Linked DNA regions of Coturnix japonica. The protein of the gene in region 1 interacts with the protein of each later gene in a pairwise test. Links are inferred from orthologs where the notes say so. Each region holds a gene or a part of one and is shown in the gene's direction. Other genes may lie near its edges.

Evidence for each region.
Region 2: the proteins of TRIM32 (region 1) and ubiquitin-conjugating enzyme E2 variant 1 interact in binary tests that used the Homo sapiens proteins (3 or more experiments, as listed by UniProt). The link is inferred for Coturnix japonica from reciprocal best matches to the Homo sapiens genes TRIM32 and UBE2V1.
Region 3: the proteins of TRIM32 (region 1) and CLIP4 interact in binary tests that used the Homo sapiens proteins (3 or more experiments, as listed by UniProt). The two-hybrid records come from large-scale screens. The link is inferred for Coturnix japonica from reciprocal best matches to the Homo sapiens genes TRIM32 and CLIP4.

Annotation. Positions count from the first base shown.
Region 1 is NC_029532.1:2,234,403-2,238,152, forward strand, and holds the start of TRIM32 (E3 ubiquitin-protein ligase TRIM32), read left to right. Parts: upstream 1-1,341; 5' UTR 1,342-1,441; intron 1,442-2,677; exon of another isoform or gene 2,678-2,796; intron 2,797-3,648; 5' UTR 3,649-3,716; coding exon 3,717-3,750. UniProt on the Homo sapiens protein: E3 ubiquitin ligase that plays a role in various biological processes including neural stem cell differentiation, innate immunity, inflammatory resonse and autophagy.
Region 2 is NC_029535.1:12,296,551-12,300,300, forward strand, and holds the start of ubiquitin-conjugating enzyme E2 variant 1, read left to right. Parts: upstream 1-1,305; 5' UTR 1,306-1,415; coding exon 1,416-1,437; intron 1,438-3,750. UniProt on the Homo sapiens protein: Has no ubiquitin ligase activity on its own. The UBE2V1-UBE2N heterodimer catalyzes the synthesis of non-canonical poly-ubiquitin chains that are linked through Lys-63.
Region 3 is NC_029518.1:10,041,650-10,045,094, reverse strand, and holds the end of CLIP4 (CAP-Gly domain-containing linker protein 4), read left to right. Parts: intron 1-382; coding exon 383-455; intron 456-997; coding exon 998-1,319; 3' UTR 1,320-2,894; downstream 2,895-3,445.

The DNA of each region.
Region 1 (3,750 bases):
GCCTTTATGGCATCCCATAGCCCCTCATGGCGGCCCTATAGGACCTTATGGCATCCTGTAGCCCATCACGGTGGCCCTATAGGCCTTTATGGCAGCCTGTAGCCCATCATGGTGGCCCTATAGGACCTTATGGCATCCTGTAGCCCATCACGGTGGCCCTATAGGCCTTTATGGCGTCCTGTAGCCCCTCATGGTGGCCCTATAGGACCTTATGGCATCCTGTAGCCCCTCATGGTGGCCCGATAGGAACTTATGGCATCCTGCAGCCCCTCATGGTGGCCCTATAGGACCTTATGGCATCCTGTAGCCCATCATGGTGGCCCTATAGGCCTTTATGGCATCCTGTAGCCCCTCATGGTGGCGCCTATGGCCTTTTATGGGCATCCTGTAGCCCCTCTATGGTGCGCCCTATAGGCCTTTATGGCCATCCTGTAGACCCCTCTGGTGGCCCCCCCCCCCCCCACTATAGGCCTTTATGGCATCCTGAGCCCCCTATGGTGCTCCCCATAGACCTTTATGGCATCCTGCAGGCCGCCTCATGGGTGGCACCTGATAGGCCCTGTATGGCATCTGTAGCCCCTCATGGTGCGCCCTATAGGACCGTCGTATGGCATCCTGTAGCCCCCATCATGTGGCCCATATAGGAACTTATATGGCATTACCTCGTAGACCCTCATGGTGCCTAGTAGGCCCTTATGCATCCGCAGCCGCCCCTCATGGTGGCCCTATAGGCCCTTATGCGCATCCTGCTAGCCCCTCCATGCCGTGGTCCTATAGGCCTTATGGCATCCTGTGCCCCTCATGCGTGGCCCTATAAGGCCTTTATGGCAGTCTGCACCGCTCCATGGTTGGCCCTATAGCAGCCCTTATGCGCATCCTGTAGCCCCCTCATGGTGGGCCCTTACAGGACCTTTATGGCATCCTGTAGCCCATCATTTGGTGGCCCTATAGGCCTTTAATGGGGGCCATCCTGTAGCCCCTCATGGTGGCCCTATAGGCCTTTATGGCATCCTGTAGCCCCTCATGGTGGCCCTATAGGCCTTTATGGCATCCTGCAGCCCCTCATGGTGGCCCTATAGGCCTTTAAGGCATCCTGTAACCACTCATGGTGGCCCTATAGGCCTTTAAGGCATCCTGTTGCCCATCATGATGACCCTATAGGCCTTTAAGGCATCCTGTAACCCCTCATGGTGGCCCTATAGGCCCTTATGGCATCCTGCAGCCCCTCATGGTGGCCCTATAGGCCCTTATGGCATCCTGCAGCCCCTCATGGTGGCCCTACAGGCCTTTATGGCCCCTCCCCCCCATTAACCCGCTGTGTGTGCGCAGGCGGCCCTTCAGGACTCCACCTCCCAGCGCTCCGTGCGCCGCGCAGCACCACGTCATCGGCGGCGCTGGGTATGACGGGCAGCGGCTGCGCGGCCCGGGGAGCGGCGAGCAGGTAAAGGGAAGGAGCGGAGCCGGGGCCCCGCCGTGAGTGGCGCCCCCTGCAGGCGGGGCGGGTGGGCGGGCGGTTACACACAGCAACGGGGCCGACCCAGCGGGACCGGGATGGAGCGGGAGGGAGGCGGCGCTCCCAAAGCGCTGCGGGGCCGTGAGCAGGGCCAGGCCTCGGTTCGGCCTCTGGTTCACTGTTTTATGTGTGGGAACAACGGCCCGATGTGGGGTATAACCGAGGGAGGGAGAGCGCTGCGGGGATAACGGCATGGCAGAGATGAGCGCTTGCATGCGGTTGTGCCTATTAAAAGAGCATCACACAAAGCGACCTTCAGACCGAACCTGAGTTAAAAGCAAAGGGAAGCCCATCTAAATGGAAATACGCCTTCTGACCGCAGCTTTTATCTGTAAACCTCGTTGTTGTCCATCCATCAGAGCTGAGGTGCTGCTCAGCAGGAGAGGAGAGGAGAGGAGAGGAGAGGGAAAAGGAAGGGAAAGGGAAAGGAAGGGAAAGGAAGGGAAGGGAAGGAAAAAGGGAAAGGAAAGGAAAGGAAAGGAAAGGAAAGGAAAGGAAAGGAAAGGAAAGGAAAGGGAGGGAAAGGGAAAGTAAAGGAAAAGTAAAAGAAAGGAAAGGAAAAGGAAAAGAAAGAAAAGGAAAGGAAAAGGAAAGGAAGGGAAAGGGAAAGAAAGGGAAAGAGAAAGGGAAAGGAAAGCTGTGTCCCCACTTTGGGGTCAGCACCCAGCCTGGGACCCCACCATTGGAGATCCCACATTGCCCATCCCTGCAACGTGGGGCTAAAAAGACCTCACAGCCGATAAATACAGATCTCCTTTTAATTCCTCCCCCCCCTCTCTCTATGTATGAATATAAAGAACCTCTCTCCGTTCCAGCTGTCTCCTTCCACTCGAGCAAACGCTGAACTGAAATACACTGAACCTTTCTGTCTGAAATGCTCCTGAGGGCAAAGCAGGCGATCGCAGCAGGGAAGCCAAAGTGCTGCGTGCATGCAGCCATTATTGGGAAGAAAGCTTTCTGCTCGCATCCCTCTGTGCCCGGCTCTTCATTTTAAAGACCAACCACTTCCTTCTCCTCCTCTCCCCCTAGAAGAAATGTTTTCTCCCCGTTTCTTTTTTAACGGCTAAGCAATGCGATAGCAGAGGTATTGAAACTCGGTCCGCTGAATAATAACTTAATGATGTGAACCCTGTTCTGTTCCTTTTGAATGGATGGCTGCTTTAGCGAGGGAGCTGCTGGGATCTGCTCCCCGCTGCGCGGGATGTGAGGATGAAGAAACCTGGGCTGAAGTTGAATGGCAACCACGGCGGTACAACAAAACTGAACCAAAACACAGGAATGAAGTCAGTGCTACAAGAGTATAGAATACAGAGAAATTATATGCAATTAAGCTAAGTTCAGGACCTAAGAGAGAACACGTGCAGTCTGTATTATCAAGCATTTGGAGTTGTCTGGTAGCTCTGTTTCTGCTAATACTTGATAGAATGCTGCTGCATCAAGCTGTATTTATTTGCATGATGCAGCATGGCAGAGGTTAATGAAGTACACTGGCTTAAAGACATCGGCGCATGTTTCCACTATAAACAGTCAATCACAGAAGGAGTGGAAACCGACAAATCATTCCTTCTAGGATTACCTCCTGGCAAACACATGAAACCTTGAAAATTTATTTTGGCTTTCTAGAAAAGCAGTTTTAAACCATGAACATTTATTTTGCTCATGTCTGATGTCTTATCTGAATGCAGGTCTCCAGAGGTGATATATTAATGTCCTAAAGCGTTGCACCATCTGGTTCCTCTTTTGATGCGCAACATTTGAACGCTTGGTTTAATCTCTCTGGATTTCAGAGTAAATTATGTAAACTCACAGGCTTGGCAGCAGGAGATGGGCACCATGAGGAGATGATTCAGTCATCAATATATATTGGGCTTCCTTATTGCTGCCATTACACTTCTTTCAGTTCTCCTTATAAATTTTGCAAGCGAATAATTCATTGCACTAGAAGCTGCAGGTTAGTTTTAGGATTTGCCCACTCTGAGATCAGCGATGATAAATCTACCCTTCTCACATGTGGAAAAGCCAACTGGGTTTCTGTTTTCCAGGTCTGGGAGATAAATCAGAAATAAACTGCATGTATATGTAACTGCTGGTGATGACATAAATCACATTTTCTTTTTTTTTTTCTTTCTGGACAGAATTGGAGCACCTTAGAATACATGCGAGTACCAGATTCTGCACTGGGTAAAGCTGCCTGTGGAAAGCCATGGCTTCTGCTCCTCAACTCAACTCGGATGCGC
Region 2 (3,750 bases), on another chromosome or scaffold:
CCTGGGGCTCCCAGAACGGCAGCAGGAGGTGCAGAACAGCCTCCAGCAGCAGCAGCAAAACGCTGCCTTGATCCCGCCTGGAGCAGTTCTAAAATAGGAGGTTTGGGCTGTCCTGAGGTGCCCATACCTGTTATCCCCTCCCAAACCTGGTGCAGAGGGGAAGGGGGCTGCAACAGTGGGGTTGCACTGAGCACCCACCTTGCCCCAGAACTGCAGCAGTTCCAACGGGAGCTCCTGGCATCTGCACCCCCAGCTCCAGGTCAGCTTTGCCGAGCAGTTGTGCCACCCAGCTTCTGCCCTGCTCGTTTCCCGTGCTGCTCTCGGCTGCCTCTGAAATGCAGCGTTAGGCTTCAGCTGTAGTCTGACCAGCAGCAAGACTGGCATTGCTGTTTTTAAAGCAGCATCAGTGAATAGCTGGTAGAAATGGTGCTGTAGCTGTGCGCTGTGGGGTTGATACAGCAGGATGAGGGTTTGAATGGCAGTCATGAGCCTCTAAATCTTCTAATAATTTCTGTGAGATGTCCATGCGATGTCTCAGGACAATATCTGGGGATATGTAGTGCAAGACAAAGCAGAATTTATTAATTCATTTCCTCCCAGGTTTCTTTGTTTGTTTTTTACTGTACTGGCTAGACAGAGGCAAAGCAAAATGCTGCCGCTGAAGCACAGCCCTCTAGGTCCATCTGCTGTCAGGTCCCATCTGGCAGCGCCTGTTTTCGATTCCATTTCTGCATAGTCCCAACCTTCAGGAGCAAAGCGGGGACACCCGTGTGTGCTGTGTCTTTCCTGCTGCAGACGGGCGGGCATTGCGTGCTGCTGGCTGCTTCCTTCGGCTGCGCTCACTGTGGGTCTGCACAGAACACACAGCACGGATTGCTGCCAGTGCTTCACGGCAACGAGAGAATGGCAGCAAAGGAAAGGAAATGTTGCACCACTCTGGTACTTTCCTTAGCTGAAGACGTTTGGGAAGCAAATACATAAACAACACCAGATTATTACCAAGTGACTGGGTAATTTAAGAGCATTAGGAGTTAAATGCTGCCTGCGTTCCGACCATAATGAACGTGGTTTGGCCATTATTAATTGCACTGGAGTTTTATAGGACGTTAAATGTTTGAAAGCATGCCCGTGTTTCAGGCTTCCCTGGAGGATCCAGGGCTCTGCTGTCCCGGACACGAGCCGGCTGCCGCCCTCGGGGGGCACGAACAGCTCGAGCCCCCCCAGCCCAACAGAGAACGCCGCTAACCTCGATTGTGCCCGCCCGCGCGGCGAAGTTCGGGCGACTTCCGGCGTGCACCACAGAGCTCTCCTCTTTCTCGCCTCGTCTTTAGCGCGCCCGCCCGCCCCGCGAGGCCTCACTTCCCGCGTTGCGCTGACGCGGCGTTGGGGGGCGGGTCCGGCGGCAGCGGCGCAAGATGGCGGCCACCACGGGTGCGGGTGAGCGGGCGGCGGGGCCGGGCTGGGCCGGGGGCGCTGGGAGGGGCCGCCCCTCTCCGCGGGGCAGCGGGCGGCGGGGCCGGGCCGGGAGGCGGCGACAGAGCGGCCAGGGCTGCGGAGAAGGGAACGGAGCGAGGGGGCGGCGGCGGGGACTGGGCCGAGGGGCGCGGCGCGGTGCCCGGCCGGGGGGCGGGTGGGCTGGGTGGGCCGAGGGCCGAGGGCCGAGGGATGCGGCTGGGCGGGACTCGGGCACGGGAGCCGCGGAACGACCCGGGCGGAGGCACCGCCGAGCACAGGCCGCTCCCGGCCGCCCCCAGCCCGCAGTGAGTCCCGGCCCCGCCGCAGTGCTACGGGCTGCGGGCGGAACGCGGCGCTGGGCGGCGGCTGCCGGGGAGCACAGGCCCGAGGAGCCGCTTCCGAAGGGCTCAGGAAGTTGAACGGCGATTTCCTGCCTCGTTCTGCACCTGCTATGAATGGTTGAACGGCCCCCTATGGCTATCGTTCACGTTACACTACATAGCAGTAACCAGACCTCAGTGTATCTTTTCCTGCTGATCCCTTCTGGCTGACCTGTGCAGACCAAATAATGTGGTTTCATTCCTGTTTGCCAGTCTCACCTACCTGCTCTTGTAACCAGTGTCCAGTGTGCCCTGACAGCGCCGTGCTCAGATCGCATCCTCTGGTGATAAATGTGGGAACATCCAAGGGCTGCACTGGAGGTACAGCAGAAATATCTAGAGGTACCTTCCTTACAGATAGGTTCCTGCTGGTGGCTTTCCGGCCTTCAAGAATAAATGTCACAGTGCAGTTAATTAATTAATGCAGTTAATAAGTAGTTATCAAGTTCATAAGAAGGTTCTCTGCTTGGAAGCAGGTGGCTGTGAGCTGTGGAGCACCTGGGTAAAGCCTATGGACAGAGCACATTTCCACTACCACATTATCTCACTTCTCTGCTCCTGTAATCCTGTCGGTCTGCTCACTTTATTTTGTATGTGTCTGGAAGAGCAAGGCCAGTGACTGCTGCTTTTAAGCCAGTGCAGCTTCATGAGTTATTGTCTGTGTGGTCCAGGAGAGGGGCAGGAAGATGGAGATCCAAACTGCAGTGACTGAGTCTGGGGCCAGTCCTGCACAGCTCCTTTGTGCTGTTGGGATGAGCTGTGTGTCAGTAGCCATTGTCCATCAGCCACGCTGTGCCTTTGGATGGCTGCATTACCTCATATTCTCCTGAACCGTCCCTGGCCTTCAGTGTTGGAAGCAGTGCAGAGTCAGGGAGATGGCAGGCAGGTGCTCAGCTCCTTGCCTCTAAAACATGAGCATCAGACAAGCACTGCACTTAGCTGCTCTTGAGGTCCTGTTTGTTTTAGTGCTGCTGGCAAGAGGAAATAGTGCAAAACAGTATGTGTCAAAAAAAGCCATGCTGCTGAAACAGAACTTCTGCAGTAAGCCCCATGGTTGGGACTGAGGAACTTTTGCATACAGACCAGTGGTTTGCGCTGATGGGAGCGTTGTCCAGCCGTGAATCCCAGACTGCTGTACCTACCACCAACCTGTTCTGTCTGGGTGCACCAGTAAAGTATGGCTGGAGATTGTCCTTTTTGAAACAGAGAGCAATATAGTGTTCCTGACAGCACCAGTAGAATCTGGGGTTTCCTGTATAAAGAAACCTACAGCAATTCTTTTAAGATCTCCTGGCGAGTTGTCTTAGTTTCAGCTGGAACAGAATTGTTCCCTTCAGAATGTTGGGTATGATGCCATGTTTTGGTTCGAGGAGAAGAAAAACATTGATAGCACAGTGATGTTGATAATTGCTGCTAAGCAGTGCTGTGCAGAGCCAAGGCTCCAAGGAGCTGGGAGGGAACAGAATCAGGACAGCTGACTTACACCTGCCAAAGGGATATTCCATACCATACAACATCAAGCAGAAGGAGTTTAGAAGGGGCTGGGAGTTCATCACGCTCTCTTCTGCTGCTTGTCTTTTTCTCAGTAAATAGTTTTATCTTAACCCACAAGTTCTACTACATTTTCTCCTAATTTTCTCCCCCATCCTACTGGGGTGGAGGGAGGTGCTTAGCTGTCTGCTAAACTCCAACACTAGTGAAGAGCATTTTCAGTGCCCTTTGCTAAGCTGTTCTCTATGAAATATTTGTGCTTTAATCCTCAAGATTTCATTGTAGAAAGGAAAGAGATTCACTGACATTTTTTGTGGGGCCTTTATTTCTTCCTGCTCGTGCTGAGGAGGAGCATTCAGGAGCATCCACTCTCAGGAGTATTGCCCACTTCATTTCACTGCTCTCACTGTGCTGTTTGCACTGT
Region 3 (3,445 bases), on another chromosome or scaffold:
TTTCATACTTCTTTAAACATACTTAACCATAAGTTTAACTTGGTTCTTCATCTAAACTGAGCCTAATGAGGGTGTCAGTGGAAGGAGTAATGATACATCACAGGAAGGAGTAAAAATACATGACAGTAAGAAAGGTTGTTTTGTGAAAAGCCTGCTTCCATTTACTCCTCTTCAGTTTGTTTTATTTAATTTCTTTTGTCTCAGGACATGTAAAACATGTTATGAACACTTAAGTTCATGAAAAGTTTCATCAGTTTCCAAACAGGAAGGGAGAATGTGTAGCAAAGATAGTGGGAGCAGTATAGAAGAAAACACAGAGATAATGGGCTCAAAGCCAAAAATCTTTGTAAATCCCACATAGCTCATTAACCTTCTCCTTTAGGTTTTAGACGCAGTTTAAGCACAACTTCTGCATCTTCACAAAGAGAGATAAGCAGAAGAAACTCCTTTGTTAGGTGAGTATTTGGATTTTAAGATGTCTGGGTGAGGCAGCTGATAGCCTCACTACTTCTTGCTGCAAAGAAGATCTTTATGTTTATGAAGTGCTAGAGGTTATTATATATACTCACTCTTTTTCCTCCAGAATTAAGCAGTAGCCTACTGTTTTTTCTGTGGGCATCCTAAGATACAGTCCTTGGGTTCAAGATGGCATGAAAATGGTTTTCCAATTGCTCATCACTGTGTATTTTGCAAATTCTTGTATTTTCATTCAGCTGTTTGAATGCAGCAGGCCTTGGTAAAGGACTGCACTTCGTCCTGCCTACTGTACCACCTACCATAGACATCTCAAATCCTGGCATCGAGTGAGAGAGCAGATGGATTCTCCAAGTATTTCAAACTGCCCTCTGTTGTAGCACACTGAAGTTGTTACATGTTTTGCTAGCAATATGAGATCAAACCCAGTTTTGTCATGCACTGCACTAAGTTAAAAATACTTCTTGGATGTTTCATGGAAAGACACCGATGCTTTTTTTTTCCACCCCCCTTTTAAAACTAGGTCCAAGAGTTCTGCGTCACGGCACAGCTGGAGCCATCCCAGCACAGCTACCATGGAGGGACTGGTGAAGCTGCACGAAGGCTCACAGGTTCTTCTGACCAGCTCCAATGAAATGGGCACCATCAGGTACATTGGTCCGACGGACTTTGCACCAGGGATGTGGCTTGGCCTTGAGCTACGAAGTGCCAAGGGAAAGAATGATGGCTCTGTGGGGGAGAAGCGTTACTTCACCTGCAAGCAGAACCATGGGGTCCTGGTTCGACCTAGCAGAGTAACCTACAGGGGGATCAATGGGGCAAAACTTGTAGATGATATCTGCTGAGCCAAAAGATGCTCGGATGATAGGAAACATTTAGAGCATACAGGATCCCCATACAGAATGCCAACTTATTTTTAAATTATTAAACCTGCATTTATATTTTACGTATAGATAGATATATCTGATTATATATATTTGTATATACATACATACATACATATATATATATATATATATATATACACACACATACACAGATACACTAAGTATATATAGAGAGATATATATAAACAAACAAAACTTTGGTGACCTTAAGATGTCAAACCACTGCACTGTTTCTCTTAATGAAACAGCTCTTACCTGGGAAGGTAATTCCAAGAGCTTGGCTCTGAGATGCTGTGTTATGCTCCAGCTGGAGTATACCCAACATTCTCTAGAGTTGCTTTGTGATTCATGTGGTATTTAAACGATTTTCCTCTGTAGTAATGAACTGATAATGCTTTGTGCATTGCCTGCTTTTGAACAGAGGGGGTGGTTAATGAGTGACATTAGTCTGTTCACCAGACAGTATGTCAATTTCAGTACCAGCTGCTAGCAATAAAAAAGCAAAAAATAAAAAGACCTTTTTTTTTCCCAAGCAGTTTTGAGGTATTTCTGCATTTTATTGCATTTTGTCATTGGATCCCTCTTCTTCTTTTTCCCCTGCCATTATCTCCTCCTGAATCCAAAAGGGCTGATAAATAAGTGCAGGAATTTGCAGCGATCCTAGCGAACAGCTAATAAGCAAAAAGCCTTTAAAAAGCACAACCGTAGTGTCTGTCAGGCAGTAAATGTACTGTATATAGAAGAAGCACTCTTTAAAATAATGCACTTTACACTCTCCTGGAGAACTCTCCCTCGTTTATAAAGGTATTGCTTTGTTTGTTGTGCTGCAGGCTATGGGTATCATAGTTTTTAAATGCACATAAACTGTCCAGTAGTCTGTACAGACACAGCATGGCCATTCCTGCCAGCAGTATGGGTTATGGGCTGGGTTTTAAAGCAAGCTATTAACACTTCAGTTATTTCTGTTTCCTTTTGCTTTCTTTGGTACAGTTTCCAGTGTAGATTTCTTGTAAGACTCGTAGGATAAATTAAGGATAATTTTAGGTACAGGACTGTAGCAGAAGTTGATGTGACATCACTTGCATATCAGCCTTTTTAAAAACAGCTCGTACTTGTCCATGTTTTAAACATGTAATGTGTTCTAATTGCTCAGCATTATCTCACTGTTATCAGGGTGGTTCTGTGTTTCAGATGATGGTTTTATTTTTAAATGATCTGCTTGCTTTTACCTACTTGAAAGAAGAGACACTTTAAATGAAGTTAGGATCCTATTTTTAGACAGAATTCTGCTGCTATTAATGTTATTTTAAATACTACTGTAGCTATTTTTCCTTGGCTGTATTTAAAATACTGCATATTGTATTCTAGCTTATGGAGCGTTTTAAATTGAATATAAGTTGTAAATTTTGATTGTAAAAAAGGAATTAGTTCTCTATATTTGAAGATATACAAAACTCAGTGCTGTACTGAACATGACTTTGTCCAATATCTGTTTGTTGGTGTATTAGTAAAATGAAAGCCTGGTGAATGGTATGGTGGAGAGAAGCTTCCCGGGATTGTTATAGCACATATATCCTCTTTTCTCTATTCCTATGTACAAATTACACAGGCAGATATGGTGTGAAGCAGCAGCTGTGGAATACCACCTGGATGGTCCTAGCTCTGTCACAGGAGCCATCAGCACTGCACTGAGGGTGGTGCCATCGCTACAGAACCCAGCACGCAGGGAGCCAGTTACAGCCATTTTATTGGTCTTCATGCCTTTTGGTTCACTACACTTGTTTACAATACAAAGACACTATTCAATACAAAATACTCAATGACCATATATTAATATTTTTTCTTCATAGTATCCCTGAAGTGCACAGGCCCTTCCTTTATAAATTGCATAAGCTGCTGTATGTGAGACAGACATTCCTCTAATGAAGCTCTGTTACTAAAAGAAGCCAGATGCAGACAATTCAGACATTTTCTCATGACAGTTTTAACTCTGGGACGGACACTTTGTGATGTCTTTGCAGCTGTGAGAGGCAGTTCTATGCAATACCTACATCAAGGTTCTTGTCACCAAGCAGACATGCTCA